Linked DNA regions of Elephas maximus indicus. The protein of the gene in region 1 purifies or fractionates together with the protein of each later gene. This does not show direct contact. Links are inferred from orthologs where the notes say so. Each region holds a gene or a part of one and is shown in the gene's direction. Other genes may lie near its edges.

The links.
Region 2: the proteins of TRIM47 (region 1) and PPM1A purify together in Homo sapiens (affinity purification with western blotting; 3 studies listed by BioGRID, with this or other methods). This does not show direct contact. The link is inferred for Elephas maximus indicus from reciprocal best matches to the Homo sapiens genes TRIM47 and PPM1A.

What each region holds. Positions count from the first base shown.
Region 1 is NC_064837.1:66,121,386-66,128,863, reverse strand, and holds the start of TRIM47 (E3 ubiquitin-protein ligase TRIM47), read left to right. Parts: upstream 1-4,459; 5' UTR 4,460-4,481; coding exon 4,482-5,294; intron 5,295-6,334; coding exon 6,335-6,430; intron 6,431-6,657; coding exon 6,658-6,888; intron 6,889-7,039; coding exon 7,040-7,238; intron 7,239-7,478. UniProt on the Homo sapiens protein: E3 ubiquitin-protein ligase that mediates the ubiquitination and proteasomal degradation of CYLD.
Region 2 is NC_064828.1:72,637,699-72,645,237, forward strand, and holds the start of PPM1A (protein phosphatase 1A), read left to right. Parts: upstream 1-4,534; 5' UTR 4,535-4,687; intron 4,688-4,940; exon of another isoform or gene 4,941-5,279; intron 5,280-5,388; exon of another isoform or gene 5,389-5,490; intron 5,491-7,539. UniProt on the Homo sapiens protein: Enzyme with a broad specificity. Negatively regulates TGF-beta signaling through dephosphorylating SMAD2 and SMAD3, resulting in their dissociation from SMAD4, nuclear export of the SMADs and termination of the TGF-beta-mediated signaling.

The sequences.
Region 1 (7,478 bases):
ATTACCCTGCCTTCCTGCCAAACTGTGCACACCCAGGCCATGTCCCTCAGTTTTTCCCTCTGCCTGGAAGGCCTTTTCCCGCCCTGCTTTCTGCACTTTTGAGTCCTACCAGTCCAAGAAAGCCCGGTTGAGATGGCACCTCCGTCACATGGACCTCTGCAGTCCCCCAGCCTTTCCATGGACCCCCAGAATGTATCGTCTCTCTCATAGGTGCCCTTCCCCCAGCCAGGAGTGTGGTTATTCAGGTTTGGGACACATTTCCCCGATTGGCTGGACACCTCCTTGCCTTATTCTTCTTTGTTGCCCCCACGGCTCATCACACCCCAAAACAAAAAATCAAACCAAACCCAGTGCCGTCGAGTCGATTCCGACTCATAGCAACCCTATAGGACAGAGTAGAACTGCCCCGTAGAGTTTCCAAGGAGCACCTAGCGGATTTGAACTGTCAACCCTTGGGTTAGCAGCTGTAGCACTTAACCACTAGCCACCAGGGCTTCCAAAAGCCAAACTCGTTGATGTCGAGTCAGTTCCAACCCCCCCAGGCCATCAAAAAAGCCTGCTGGCTGACTGGGGCCAAAGGAAATACAGCAAGAAACAAAGGAGTCTATAAGAGGTTTGGGAGGACAAAGCTTTGGTGTCTACAGAGGGAAGTGGGCTCTGCCCAGGTGTGGGGTGAAGGGTAGGGGGTCCTACCTTCTTGTAGGATACGAGTAATTGTAATAACCCAGTTGCCATCCAGTCAGTTCTGACTTAGGGAGACCCCATGTGTGTCAGAGTAGAAATTGTGCTCCATAGGGTTTTCAATGGCTGATCTATTGAAAGTAGAGCTCCTGGGTGGTGCAGATAGTTAGCATGCTCGGCTGCTAATGGAAAGGTTGTGGAGGTTTAAGTCTACCCAGAGGTAGTATGATTTTTGGCTGGGCCATGATTCTCAGTGTTTATATGTGATCACTCCCATGATGGAATCTGCTGTGAGTAGCCAATCAGTTGGAAGGGAGTTTCCTTGAGGGTGTGGCCTGCATCCAAATATAAGCAGATGTTCTGGCTTTTTGCTCACTGTGGACCCTGTGGCTGCCTCCTTTCATCTGACCTTCCTTCGGCTCTTGGGACTTGAGCTATCAGCTTATCTGCAGGTCTTGGAATTCATCAATCTTCACAGCCTGAGAGCAGGAGCCCTGCTCTCTGGCCTGCCAATCTTGGGTTCGCCAGCCCCTGCAGCTACATGACTCGAGAGAAGCCACTGTCCTGATCCACGGACTTGGGATGTTCCAGCCTCTACAATCACAATCTCTATATATATTTATACGCTTTAATAGTTTTGCTTCTCTAGAGAACCCGCCTAAGACAGGTGGCTCAGAAGAACGGCCTGACTATCTACACCTACTCCTTACTTATCAACTATCTCATTATCCAACATTTCACATTTAGATAATAGTTTTGCCCATTAACGATGTACGTCTGGCAGTAATGTTTTCATGACCAGTGGGACAGAGAGCACCCACCTATATTTTCTGCCTCTCAGGTCCAGAGGGACACATGCATCCCACATACTGTATGGTGATCTGATGTGGTCATCTTCCATTTTCACATAATGGGCTTGTTTTTGGAACTTAACCATGCCAATAAGCGAGGAATGGGTGTACTTCCAAACAATCAGCCATTAAAAACCCTATGGAGTACATTTCCACTCTGATGCACATGGGGTTGTCATGATTTAGAGTCTAATTGGCAGGAAGTGGAGTAACAATAGCTGCCCTGTATTAGCAAGGGGGAACACCTGCCATGGGCCAGGCCTTGTGCTAAAACAGCTATTCTAAACTGGGCAATTTTGTCCCCCAGAAGACATCTGGCAATGTCTGGAGACGACTTTCACTGTCATGACTGGGAGGATGCTACTGGCATCTAGTCAGTTGTGGCCAGAGATGCTGCTAAACCTCTACAATGCCCAGAACATCCCCCCACAACAGAGAGTTATTCAGCCCAAATGGCAATAGTGCCTAGGTTTAGAAGCCCTGTGCTAAAGGATTTACAGGTGTTACCTCATCTAATCCTCACAAAAACCCTACGAGGTAAGTATATTCATTTCCTAATTGTGCGGTCAAGGAAATCAAGCTCAGAGAGGTTAAATAACCTTCCCTGGGGTCACACAGCCGCAAGGTAGTGAAGCAGGCATTGGGACCCAGGTCTGGCTCTAAAAAGGTGCGGTCTTTCTTCTGCTCAACAGTTCATGGAGGTGAAAGAGGCTCTCTAGAACATGTTGCTTTTATAATATATAAGTGCCAAAATGATAACATAATAGCATTAGAATTACTGTTTCCCTGGAGAAAGCAGGGCTTTGTTGCCTCTGGAATAAAGTGTTTAGATTGGGGACCCCTGCTCTCCTGGGGCAGGAAAGGAGTTAGCAGGCCCCAAAACCAGGGCAGGAACACCCAAAACACAAGCCACAAAAGAAAAAAATAGATAAATTGGACATCAAACTTATAAAAACTTTTGTGCTTCAAAGGACACCATCAAGAAATAGAACACATGGGCCACTCCTGCCCAAAAGCAAAGAAGAGAAGGCAGGAACAGGAAAACTGGACTGACAGACAGGGAGAGCCCAGGGTGGAAAGGGAAAGGGGGAGAGTGCTGACACATTCCGGGATTGCAACCAATGTTGCCAAATAATTTGCGTATAAATTTTGAATGAAAAACTAATTTGCATTGTAAACTTTCACCTAAAACAATAAAATTAAAAAACAAAGAAATTGAAAACACAATTTTTTTTTAAATTCTGAAGATCATATATCTGGAAGGGGACTTGAATCTAGAGTATATAAAGAGCTCTTACAACTCAAGAATAAAAAGACAAATAACACAAGTAAAAAATGGGGAAATGTTCAGAATGAACGTTTGTCCAAAGAAGATATACGAATGGTCAGTAAGCACGCGAAAAGATACTTGACATTGTTAGTCTTCGGGGAGATGCGAATCAAAACCACAATGAGAAACCTCTTTATCCTACTAGATGGCTATTATCGGAAAACGGAAAACAACAAGTTTTGGTGAGAATGTAGGCTACTGGAATTGTAAAATGGTGCAGCCACTTTGGAAAACAATCTGCCGGTTCCTCACACAGTAAACAGAGTTACCATAAATTCCACTCCTAGGTATATACCCAAGACAGTCGAAAACGTATGTCCACACAAAAACTCATACACGAACGTTCATACTTTCGTCACAGCTGAAGAACCAATATTGATTCATTCTTTATCCTATTCATACTTTACTCATATTTCCTTAGGTTTTCCCTAATGTCCTTTTTCTGTTACAGGATCCCACTCAGGACACCCCCTTATATTTAGTTGTCCTGTCTTCTTAGGCTCCTCTTGGCTGTGACAGTTTCTCAAACTTTCCTTGTGTTTGATGACTTGAAAATTTTGAGGAGTGCTGGTCAGGTATTCTGTAGGCTGTCCCTGAACTGAGATTTGTCTGAGTTTTTCTCTTGATTAGACTGGGGTTATGGATTTTTGGAAGGAAGCCCACAGAGGCAGAGTGCCATTCTCATCACACCATATCAAGGTGCCTACCATCTGCATGACATCACTGTTGATGTCAACCTTGATCACCTGGCTGAGGTCACGTTTGTCAGGTTTCTCCACATAAAGTTACTCCCCCCCCCCCCAGTTTACATTTTGTGCTATTGGGAAGGAAGTCACTACGCAGCCCACACTTAAGGACCGGGGAGTTGGGCTTCACCTCAGAGCAGCTACAAAAAGTATTTGGAATTCTTCTGAATGAGAAAATTTTTCTCTTCTTCCCTATTTATTTATTCCATAATTTATTTCCACCAGTATGGACTCACGGATATTTATTTTATACCTCAGGTTATAATCTAATGCTACCTTATTTGTTAGCATTCTGGTTTTTTAGTCAACATTATTGAGACATGATTTACACACAATGCACCCCGTAAAGCGCACAGATAAGGCCTTTTAACAAATGCCTGCGCTTGGAGAATCCCAGCCTCAGACTCCCGCAGGTGCCCGTGAGAAAAAAATAGATAAATTCCACTGACCAGGACTGAACTCCTCACTGAGGGCGACTTGGAGAATGATGTCAGCTTCCGTTCTAGGTCTAGAAAAGTCCTGAGTTCCCCACCAGGGCTAAATAAAAAAAAATAGAATCGCTAAACGGCAAAAACACACGCCCATCAGCAGTTTCTTTTCTCGGCAGCCAGCAGCTCCGGAACTGTACTGAGCCGTCGGCGGGGAGAGGTCTGGAGCCCGAAGGCCCGCCCAGCGCCTCCCGAGGCCCGGACCCGGCCAAGGATGGAAGCGTAGGGAGGGAATGCAAGTGTGAACTTCCAATTCCTTCTAGGGTGTGCCACTCGCATTCTCTGCCATCCCCTCCCGCAAACCTCTTTCAGCAGCCCCTCCCAGCCGGCGGGGGTTCCTGCAGAGGGGTTGGCCGCGCAGTCTGGGCTGGGCTGAGTGTCCGCGATGGGCGGTGCTGAGGGGCGGGCCGAGCCAGGCGGCGGGGCTGGACCCTTGGCCTCCATCCCGGGAGGGCGGTGCCGGGCGCGAACAGGTCGGTCCCTCCCAGGCGGGAGCAGAACAGGCGGTGCCCCCGGCAGCCTTGGAGCTATGGACAGCCCCGGGCCCTTCAGCTGCCCCATCTGCCTGGAGCCGCTCCGGGAGCCGGTGACCCTGCCCTGTGGCCACAACTTCTGCCTGGCCTGCCTCGGTGCTCTCTGGCCGCACCGCGGCGCGGGCGGCGCCGGCGGTCCGGGGAGCACTGCGCGCTGCCCTCTGTGCCAGGAGCCCTTCCCCGACGGCCTGCAGCTCCGCAAGAACCACACGCTGGCCGAGCTGCTGCAGCTCCGCCTGGGCTCGGGCCCGGGCAAGGGCCCCGCTCCGGGCCTGGCTCCTGAGCCATCAGCGCCCAGCGCGCCGCCCAACGCCCCGGAGCCGTCTGCTCCCTGCGCCCCTGAGTCGTGGCCGGCAACCGAAGAGCTGGTGCGCTGCGATGCGTGCCCTGAGGGCGCCGCCCTGCCAGCCGCGTTCTCCTGCCTCTCCTGTCTCGCCTCTTTCTGCCCGGCACACCTGGGCCCTCACGAGCGCAGCCCCGCGCTGCGCGGACACCGCCTGGTGCCGCCGCTGCGCCGGCTGGAGGAAAGCCTGTGCCCGCGCCATCTGCGGCCGCTCGAGCGCTACTGCCGCGCGGAACGCGTGTGCCTGTGCGAGGCTTGCGCCGTCCAGGAGCACCGCGGCCACGAGCTGGTGCCGCTGGAGCAGGAGCGCGCGCTCCAGGAGGTGGGAGCCGGCAGTCCCCGCGGCCGGGCGGGGAATCCAGGGGGGGCCGGGAGGGCCTTACTTTCCTCCTCTAAATAGTGAGGATCGTTGCGTTCCCTTCCAACTTTGACAATGTCATCAGCTCACGGCCGTGGAGATGGAAATGGGGGAGATAGGAAGCCAGTGTGAACTCTAAAGGGAAGGGAAGGGCGGGCAGGGTATCGGAGCGGGGTCAACGGGGTCTAAGCCGGTAAAGGAGCCGGGTTAGGCCCGTAGGGTTCCCGGCGCATGGTTCCGCGCGGATGCACAGGGCTAACGGTCCCATCTCAGATTTGTCCTGGGCTGAGGCAGCGGGTGTGGATGGGTGTGGCAGGCGACAGGCTCTGCCGGCATCAGGGCACGCAGATCCGCTCTGTCCAGCTGTTCTGGGAGCCGGTGGTGGGGAGCATGTGCTCAGCCTGTCCCGCTACCTCCGCCCCCAGTTTCCTTTGGATTCCAGCCCGGACTTGGCGCCTCTGGCCTTGGGATTTTCCGTCTCTCCTTTTTTTTTTTTTTTTTTTTTCCTGCCTGGAGCTGTGACTCATAAGACCCAAGGGATTTGCCTGGAATCCCCTGTTTTCAGGTCTAGATGGTGAACCCAGACCCTTAGGGGACATTGATCCCCAGGATAGCTGGGTGTCTTCTGATACATTCCCTCTGGAACTCGCTCACCCCTGCCTCCTCCTCACTGAAGGAAGTTCTCAAATGAACTCTAGCCTCTCATCCATAGGAGACCACCAATGGCCCCTGAACTTGACCCCACTGGTCAGAGAGGGAGGCAGACAGCCCACTACCGGCCTGTGCCCCCCATTGGCATTTGGGAATGGCACCAGCCTGGACTGGAGGCACATCTGCTCCATCTGCCTGGAGCTGCTGCAGGCTTTATCAGACATCATGGTCACTCCCAGTCCAACCAGTGTGCAAAGTCACTCCTGGTCACCCCTCTCCTCTCCCCTGGCAGGGCCCCTGGTGCTGGGCTGTGGCATCTGCCAGACCGTGTCCTTACGGGGTGTCATCCACAGGCCGAGCAGCCCAAAGTCCTGAGCGCCGTGGAGGACCGCATGGATGAGCTGGGTGCTGGCATTGCCCAGTCTCGGCGCACCGTGGCCCTCATCAAGGTCAGAGCCCCCTCCCACTCCTGCAGCAGGGTCTTGACGGGAAGAGCACTCAGGGTAGAATGATCCAGTCCAATGATCCACTGGGCAGGAGAACCTCCCTGACCTGGTACAGACCCAGTCAGGCTCGGGCTGCTCCCTGTGACCTCCAAGACAAATGGGCGAGGGGGTGGTGTTGGGGAAAGATGGATCCAAAGCCGTCAACCCTGCTCCCATGTCGTCCTGTGCAGAGTGCAGCCGTGGCGGAGCGGGAGAGGGTGAACCGACTGTTTGCGGAGGCTGAGGTAACCCTGCAGAGGTTCCAGGCCGAGGTGCTGGGCTTCATTGAGGAGGGGGAGACTACCATGCTGGGCCGCTCCCAGGGCGACCTGCGGCGGCAAGAGGAACAGCGCAGCCGCCTGAGCCGAGCCCGCCACAACCTCAGCCAGGTCCCTGAGGCCGACTCGGTTGGCTTCCTGCAGGTGAGGGGCAGCTCTGCGGGCCAGAGAGGGAATAGGCTGGTGAAGGCAGGCAGGGTGGAGGGACAAAGGGCTGTGGGCCTCCTGGTGAAGCTGCCCCCTGGGCAGGTACAGCTTGGCCAGCAGAGCCTCAGCTAGCATTTGTCTGGTGCAGGAGCTCCTGGCACTACGGTTGGCCCTGGAGGAGGGGTGCGGCCCTGGGTCTGGCCCCCCAAGGGAGCTCAGCTTCACCAAGTCATCTCAGGCGGTCCACACAGTGAAAGAGCTGCTGGCTGCTGCCTGTGCCAGCCAGTGGGAGGAGCTGCAGGGGCTGGGCAGTGACGAGGACGGCCTGCAGAAGATGGGGCCAGAAGGTGGGTGTTGCCCCTCACTGAGGTGACTCACCCTCCCCCAGGCTCCCTGCACAGGCCCCTCAGCCTGGTGCCCATTCAGTAGGGGAGAATGGAAACTGTGTGCCTGGCATGGGGTGGGGCCAAACCCGGACAGTGCCTGCAACCATCACCCATGATGACAAGGCAGCCACTTTGCCACAGCCTAGGGGGCAGGGGGGCTTCTCCTAGCCCACCCCCTAGCTCAGAGGGGTTTGAGGAGCA
Region 2 (7,539 bases), on another chromosome or scaffold:
TGAAAAATGTTATATTGGCAGCTGCTATGTTATATACATATTCTTGACAATTAAAAAAAATTTACCTTGGGTTTGGTGTGCTTCTCCTAGGTTGTATGAATAATTCTTTTCTGGCACTCTCTTTCCTACCTCAGGCCCTTTGCCCACGCTGATCCCTCTCCTGGAAAGCTTTCCCCTGATTCTTTGCAGAGCTGACTCCTTCTCATCCTTCAGTTCAAATGCTATCTCCTTAGAAAGATCTGCCCTGAACATCCGCTTCAAAACTTCTTCTCATCTATTTCCATATTTATTTCCTTCCCAGCACTGATCACAATCTGTAATTTTCTTGTTTATTTATTTACTTCTTTGTATCCTCCACTCTAACGTCAGCTCCTTGGGGGCTGGGATCTTGCCCACTGATGTCATTATCTACCCCCAGCATCCAGCACAACACCAGGTATACAATAACTATCTGTTGAACAGATGAACTTGTCTAACAAGATGCACACCAATGTTGTAAGGCTGTGGACATACATACATGGTTATCTTAATGCGACAGCCTAACTTAAAAACCATCTAGGACTTCAACTGTGGCCCTCATAGTAGCCCATGTTTCATAATAAGTTGCTCAGGGCTTAGGAAGGGCCACAGTGCAGCCTGGGGGTGCCCCAGTGATGTCACACAGGACTAGATTCTCTAATCCTTATCATTCTATGACAATCTTCTAAACAGCTAAGTTTTTCATGATACGATATGGTTGGGGGGGAGGGAGGAAGGAGCACTAGGATGGGGGGGCTCACACCCCCCAAACAAAATTAGTTTGGGGGCATTATCAGTTCACATGTACTACTCCAGGAGCGAGTGGGGAGCAGATGCCGTAATTTGGACTAAGCTAAAAAAGAGAGAATAGAAGAATGGGGAAAAGAAAGGTGAAGAAGATGGAGAGTGAACAGAAGAAAATGAGAAGAGCGATAAGGAAGAGAAAAGAGAGAAGAGAAAGACAACTGAAGAAGATGTGTGTGAGAAAAAGGCGTGAAACACGTAGTGAAAGAGCAGGAGGTAGGAAGACTCGAAGCTGTTCTGCTTGGCTTTGTAACTCTTGGGTAGTTAACTGGCTTTGGTGTGAATGGATGGATGGCTCAGGTGAAGGGGATTCTAGGTCTCCGCCCCCCCCCCCCCCCCCCCCCGCCAGAGGTCACTTAAATTGCTGAGATTGTTTTGAGAGGCCCAGGCAAGGCTGTCTCAGGATGATTCTCCTGGGTGCTTTCACTATAGTAATTTGGCAACAAAGAGTGTAAACCTCTTCTTTAAGTCATGGTTGTGAGAAAAGGGGAAGAGAGTATTGCTGACCAGTTTAAGTTTTTATACTCTCCACCACAAACCCTGTCCTTACCCCAAACGTCTCAATTACTAGGTTAATAGCACCAAGTTAAATTCAGGACATTAAAGCCAACTTTCAGAAATATTTTCTGTTAAATGAAATTCAAACAGATTTCTAAAGCAGAGTAGCATAGTTTTATATCTATAAAAATTACTAAAATACAGTTATGGCAATATATACCCTACTGATGTTCCACAAAGGAGCCCTGGTGGCACAGTGGTTAAGCATTCCACTGCAGACCAAATAAAAGGTTAACAGTTCAAACCCACCATGGGAGAAAGATGTGGCAGTCTGCTTCCATAAAGATTTACAGCCTTGGAAACACCCTATGGGGGTAGTTCTACTCTGCCCTATAGGGTTGCTATGAGTCGGAATCAACTCAACAGCAATGGTTTTGGTTTGGTTTTTGATGTTCCACAAAAACTTACTATGAAGAGCCCAAATATGTGTACAACACCCAGACAAGGCTGAAAAGAGAAAAACAAACAAAACCCTTTAACTCTTTTTCAATTTTTTTCCTTCTAAATATTTAAAATTTTTCCTTAGTATGAGATTTAATGACAGGGATATTATAATAGCAAGCATATTTAATCAGAAACTATTGACACTTTTGTTCTGAATTTTACAACGTTAATCTTATAATTCATGAGTTTTTTAGTTCATACCAAAATGTATCCAGAAATAAATAACAGGAAGGTGCAGGTTTATTGGTAGTCTGTGGTACACTGTGAAGATTACTTATAAATCTCTCTGTGCTCGTATTTTCTATTTTTCTCCCACTTCTGCTACAATTTGGCCAGATCCTTCTATAAGTGTAGAGCAGAGAAAAGAAAGGGGTGGAAACCTAAAGGAAGGGCACAGAAAGATGGGCAAGACCTTCAAGTTCTCTGTGGCCCACTACTGCCGTTGATGAACCAGCTTCTACCTCATGAATAAGAAAATTAGTTTTTTTTTTTAAGAGCATGCCAAATCATGGTTGCCACATGGGCTTTTCTATTTCAGAGTGATAACGACTCCACCATCATGCTAATTGTGCTATTACTTGTCTGACGTATTAAGGATTTCAGTAGGGCAGAATTTCGAAGATCTTCGTTCCAATTTCTTTTGTTGGCAGGTGTGTGGAGAAGTAATTAGGAAATGTGTCCTCAGATGGGATCAAATGCATAAGTGAATTTTTTTACTTTGCATATCTGGAAATGATCCATCTTCATCTTACTCTAAGAAATCTCAAACCCAAAAATATTGGGTAGAGTGATTTTGGGGTTCCTTGGAGATTTGACCAGTCAGTGACCATTTGGCAATACTGTTTGATACTGTTGTTGCTGTAGTTAGGTCCCAGGTCTAAAAGTGGAAGGCACAGAACCTTCCCACAAAAGACAAATTGAAAAAATTAGACAGGGCTCTTACAACTTTAAAAGCAGCTAAATAATGCTAGCTGAATGACAGAATGACATAATAAATAACTCTCTTTTGATCTAAGAGTTGAGGCAACAAAGTGGTTTTAGGAGATAAAGAGTACCAGGGTGCAAAATGCTACAGTAAGCTCCGGAGATAAAATGGAAAGGCCTCACCACAAACTTACTTTCCTATTGGCCAGGGCTCAATTTGACTAATATTTTCAGGTGTTCTTTTTAGAGTACCTCCCTCCTACAACGAAGTATTTGATTTTTCTTTGCATACACCAAAGCATCTTTTAAAGCTCCACGGATTTTTCTTTTAAACTTCTGTGACTGCAAAAGTGGTGTAGATGAAACCCACTAACCGGTTAATCCTCCAACAAGAGAAAGGCGCCACAGCCAATGGGAACGTGCTGGTGATGTATTGCTCTTAGTTCTGATTCATTGGCCACCTAAGGTTTGTCATTCTACCCCCAGCGTCTGCAAGTAGCGTGGGTCACATTTTCTGAAGTCTAGCTAGCTGAACTGGATTTTAGCCATCTGCACGTGCAGTTTCAACTAAGTTTAGCTCATCTCTAATTCTTAATAGAAACAGCTGTTACGCTTCTGATTCTCCGGATTTTGAACCCTCCGTTTCTTAACCCCAAAGGAGGTCGTTGTAGGTCCCCTGTTACAGAATAACGTTATGTCTAGCATGTGCGAATGTGGAATCCCATGAGTTACAAACTGAAAACCTGCCAGAAACTCAGAACACGTGCCCCGTGCGTGAATAAGTTGCACCCGAGTGTGGGTGGGTGGTGGTAGGGTGTGTGTGTTCTTGCTCTTTGGAGAGCGAGGTGTTTGGCCGTGGCACCACCGTGGGCCTCCCTGGGTCACCTGGGGTAGGATGGCTCTGTGAAAACCGGGGCACCGGGGAAGGGGGTCTGGTTGGGGCACGAGACCAAACGAGCGTCCTAAGAGCAGTGGCCAGGCCGCGACTAAATCAGAGAAGGGTGGAAAGCTCGAGGTCAGTCCTTGGGACTCCGTGGGCGGCGTCTCAGCAGGGACTGTCGAGGGGCAGGGAGTGGGGCGTGCATCTGCAGACAGGTGGAAACTCCAGGAGAGGAGGTGCGGCCGCCCTGGGGGGCTCTTCCGAGATCCCCTAGGGCCGAAAGCCGGGCTTTGAAAGGCTCTCGAATCCACCGGGCCCGAAGAGTAGCACATTCCATTCAAGCTCCGGTCCCAGTTCCTATCCGGAATCCGGACGCTCCCCTCGGCCTCGGCCTGGAGCCTCGGTGGGGAGGTGGCAGCAGCGGCAGGCGAAGCATGGTAGTGACGTCATTCAGGGCCGCCCCTCCCCCTCCCCCTCCCCCTCCCCCTCCCACCGGCGCTAGCCGCAGTTCCTGCCCAACGACATCCGGGTCTCTCCAGCTGCTCCGCCGCGCCGCAGCTGTAGCGGCGGCGGGGCGGGGCGGCACGGGGCGGGGGAGGGGCAGCGCGGCTCCGTCGTGAGCGCGCCTGCGCGGGGGCGCGCTAGAGACAGCGGCGGCGCTGGGGACGGGAGCGCGCGCGGGAGCGAGGGAGCAGTGGTCTCGGCGCCGGCCCGGCCCGGAGCTTTGGGAGCTCGGGCGCCTACGGCTCCGGAACGGGTGGCCGGGGTGGGGGGTGGGGGGGCGCCAGGCAGGTGGGGCGCGAACGCGATGAATCCTCGGGTCTTCCTCCTCTTTCTCCGGGACCCGCTCTCCGTCTCCCGCTCCAACGCCCGGATGATCTGAGCCGCGAGGGCGCCGAGAGCCGGGGGCCCGGACGCAGCCCGGCTCCTCCCCGCCTCCGCCCCCTCCCCTGCCTGACCCGGCGGACCGCCGCCGAGGTGACCCCCTCCCCGCCCCTCCCCCGGCTGCCGCCGCCGCCTCGGCCGACCAGGGACCTGCCAGTCCGCGGCTTGCTCCGGGTAAGCGCGGCGCTCGGGCTGAAGGCGGGCGGGCGAGCGGCGCGGGCCTGCGCAGCGGCGGCGCGGCCAGGCCTGGGGCCTGTAAACAAGCCGGGCGTCTGCCCGGGCGCTCCCGAGAGGAGACGCGACAACTCCACCCCCTGGCCGGCCTCCTTCCCGGAGCCAGGCGGCGGGCGCCGAGGGGTTAACGCTCCGCGAGGGCGGGGGCGGGGTGTTTGTGGTGGCGGCGCTGGGAGGGAGCGCGACCCTCCCACGGCCCGGGCGGGGTGTTTGCGGCGGCCGTGCGGGCGGGGGCCGCGGGTCGGCCTGGCCCGAGAGCGGCCGGCGGAACTTTTTCGGAGCGAGGAGCGGGCCTCGCGGCTGCCGCCCCCCCACCCGGCCGCGCTGCCCTGGGCTCCAGCCCCTGGGAGGGAGGCCGGGAGGAAGAAAGGGAGAGGCGTCCTTTGGACCGGACTAGCCCTCGAAACACCAGATTCTGGGGGATTTGCTTCAGGCTTTATAGGGAGCAGGGCTGAGAGTGAGGCTGCTTCAGAACTCGAGTCGGTGACGCCTCCAATTCATTCATGTTAAGACATCGAACCGAATCATTGAAGTAAATTATACTGATTTTTCCTCCTCGTCTTTTTAATCGTGGAAATTGTTTGGGTAAAAGTTCTTAGTGTTAGAGCTTGGTTAAGGTATGGTTCTCTTCTGCTTTGTAGATTTTAAATAAACTTGGAGCCTTTTCTTGAAAGACAGCTGGCTGTGGAGAGCCTTCTACCAACTGCAGTTTTAGATATCTTTTGGAAATTTCATCACCTGAGGTATTTTCGTTCTCTCTTCTCCAGCACCACATGGTACTTACAAATCCGCAAAGGTCGTGCTTCAGTTGTCCAAGCCAGGAAACATATGCGCCGCCCCCGGTCCCAAGTTTTCTGCTAATTGGAATAATGAGCAGACTGTGTTTTAAGAAGTTATTGAAAGAGTATGGGAAGTGTAAAAATCCATGGGAGATGTGTATTTCTTTCCCAGAATAAATGATTTTGAGATTATTGAAAGAGATTAGAAATTTTTTTAATTGTTCTTACGAAAAAAATCTAAAAACTTTTCAGACTTGCACGTTCTGGTTTTAAACACAACCATGTTTCAAGTACAGAGAGCGCTGAAGAGACAGAGAATTTATTTATTTAAACAGTACTCTGCTGAGCCTTAGGGGCTTCAGAGCTCTCAGGAGTCCAGCTGGCAGAGCTTGGTCCCTAACTCCCTTTTTAACTGGAACAACTTCACTTTTATATTTTTATCTTTTTAATATTGGGCCTCTTCCAAAGATTGTATTTCTGTAACTTTACAGAAGAGAAAATAAGAGTAAGAAGATAGTGACCACTCTCTGAAACTTTCATTCCTCCTCCCCTCCCCCCCAGTTTTCTAACCCTGGATGTTAATTACTTAATGTTTCTTTTGCCAATAAGTAATTTGAAGCACACAGTAACATTTGTTTCATGAAATTATAGTTCTGTTCTTATGTGTAACTCGCGTATATCTGGTTAAACATTCAGTCATGTTGGAATGATTAGTTTTAACCTGCAAGTTTACAGCAAATACCACATTATTAAAATTATAATGAACTGCACATGGAAGTTGCTTAAGACATTTTTTATTTGATAAACATTTTCCTCATCAGTGAAGTAATTTTGTGTGAAGTAATTATGTGGAGCTGTATATTAAGACTAATAGTTTGAAGTTAGCTACTTCAATCTGTGTTATATTTGAGAAATACTATGGTTGAGTGCCAGAGTCATCAACATTGCTTTTTACATGGGTTGTATCTTTTTATATTTAGTATGAAGGGTAGAAGTGGTGACTATACTTACAGTATGATCTTTTTTTTTTTTAGTCAGTATGATCTTTTGAAGGGGACACTACTAGGAGGCAAGAATTGTTTAGTCATGGCTGTGCTCCAAAATAATCTGTGTCCATGGACAAGTCCTTTAACCTTTTGATTCTCGGTTTCCAAAAACCCTAAAGTGAAAGGGGCAGATTATTTTATTTATCAAATGTTAAATTTTTTATTCTCTCATCAACATTATGGAGCCCTGGTGGCACAGTGGTTAGGAGCTTGGCTGCTAACCAAAAGATTGGCAGTTTGAATCCACCAGCCACTCCTTGGAAATCCTATGGGGCAATTCTCCTGTGTCTTGTAGGGGTGCTGAGTTGAAATCGACTTGATGGGCAACCAGTTTGGTTTCTTTTTTTTTTGGCGTCAACATTGTGTGTCCGACATTCAATGTACTATGACCAAATGCCTGGTACGTACTAGGCACTTAGATGCTTCAACATTCTAAAGCTGATTTTCTTTCTGGGTTGTGTTTTATTTAAGAGAACTTTAAGTTGTTCAGTGTTTGTTAGGAAAGATACTCTAGTAAATAAACTTTATTGATTTCTCTGTTGAGATTGGGAAGAAACTCCTGGGAGAAAGGACAGAGATTCCGAGGGACAAAAGATAGCTAAGACAACAGGTTTGAACAAGTGCTCTGCCCTGGGTAGTTTGATATGAAGGACATTGTAAGAGTTTTGCTGACAGTTCATGCTCGGTCTTGCTTATCTTGACTTACTAAACCTTCATTTGAAAATTTGTTCCTAGTGCCTGATTTTTTTTTTCCAAAAAAACCTATAAACCAAATCCAAACCCATTGCTCTCAAGTAGATTCCAACTCAATAGCGACTCTGTAGGATAGAGTATATAACAAATCTATAGCAACATCATTATGTCACATGGTAAATATTGCTCAGCACTTAACTAAAAACCTGTAGTCTTTGAATTTGTTCCGATTAAACCTAGGCTTTATTGTAATGGCTCAGAATGTATAGCTGAT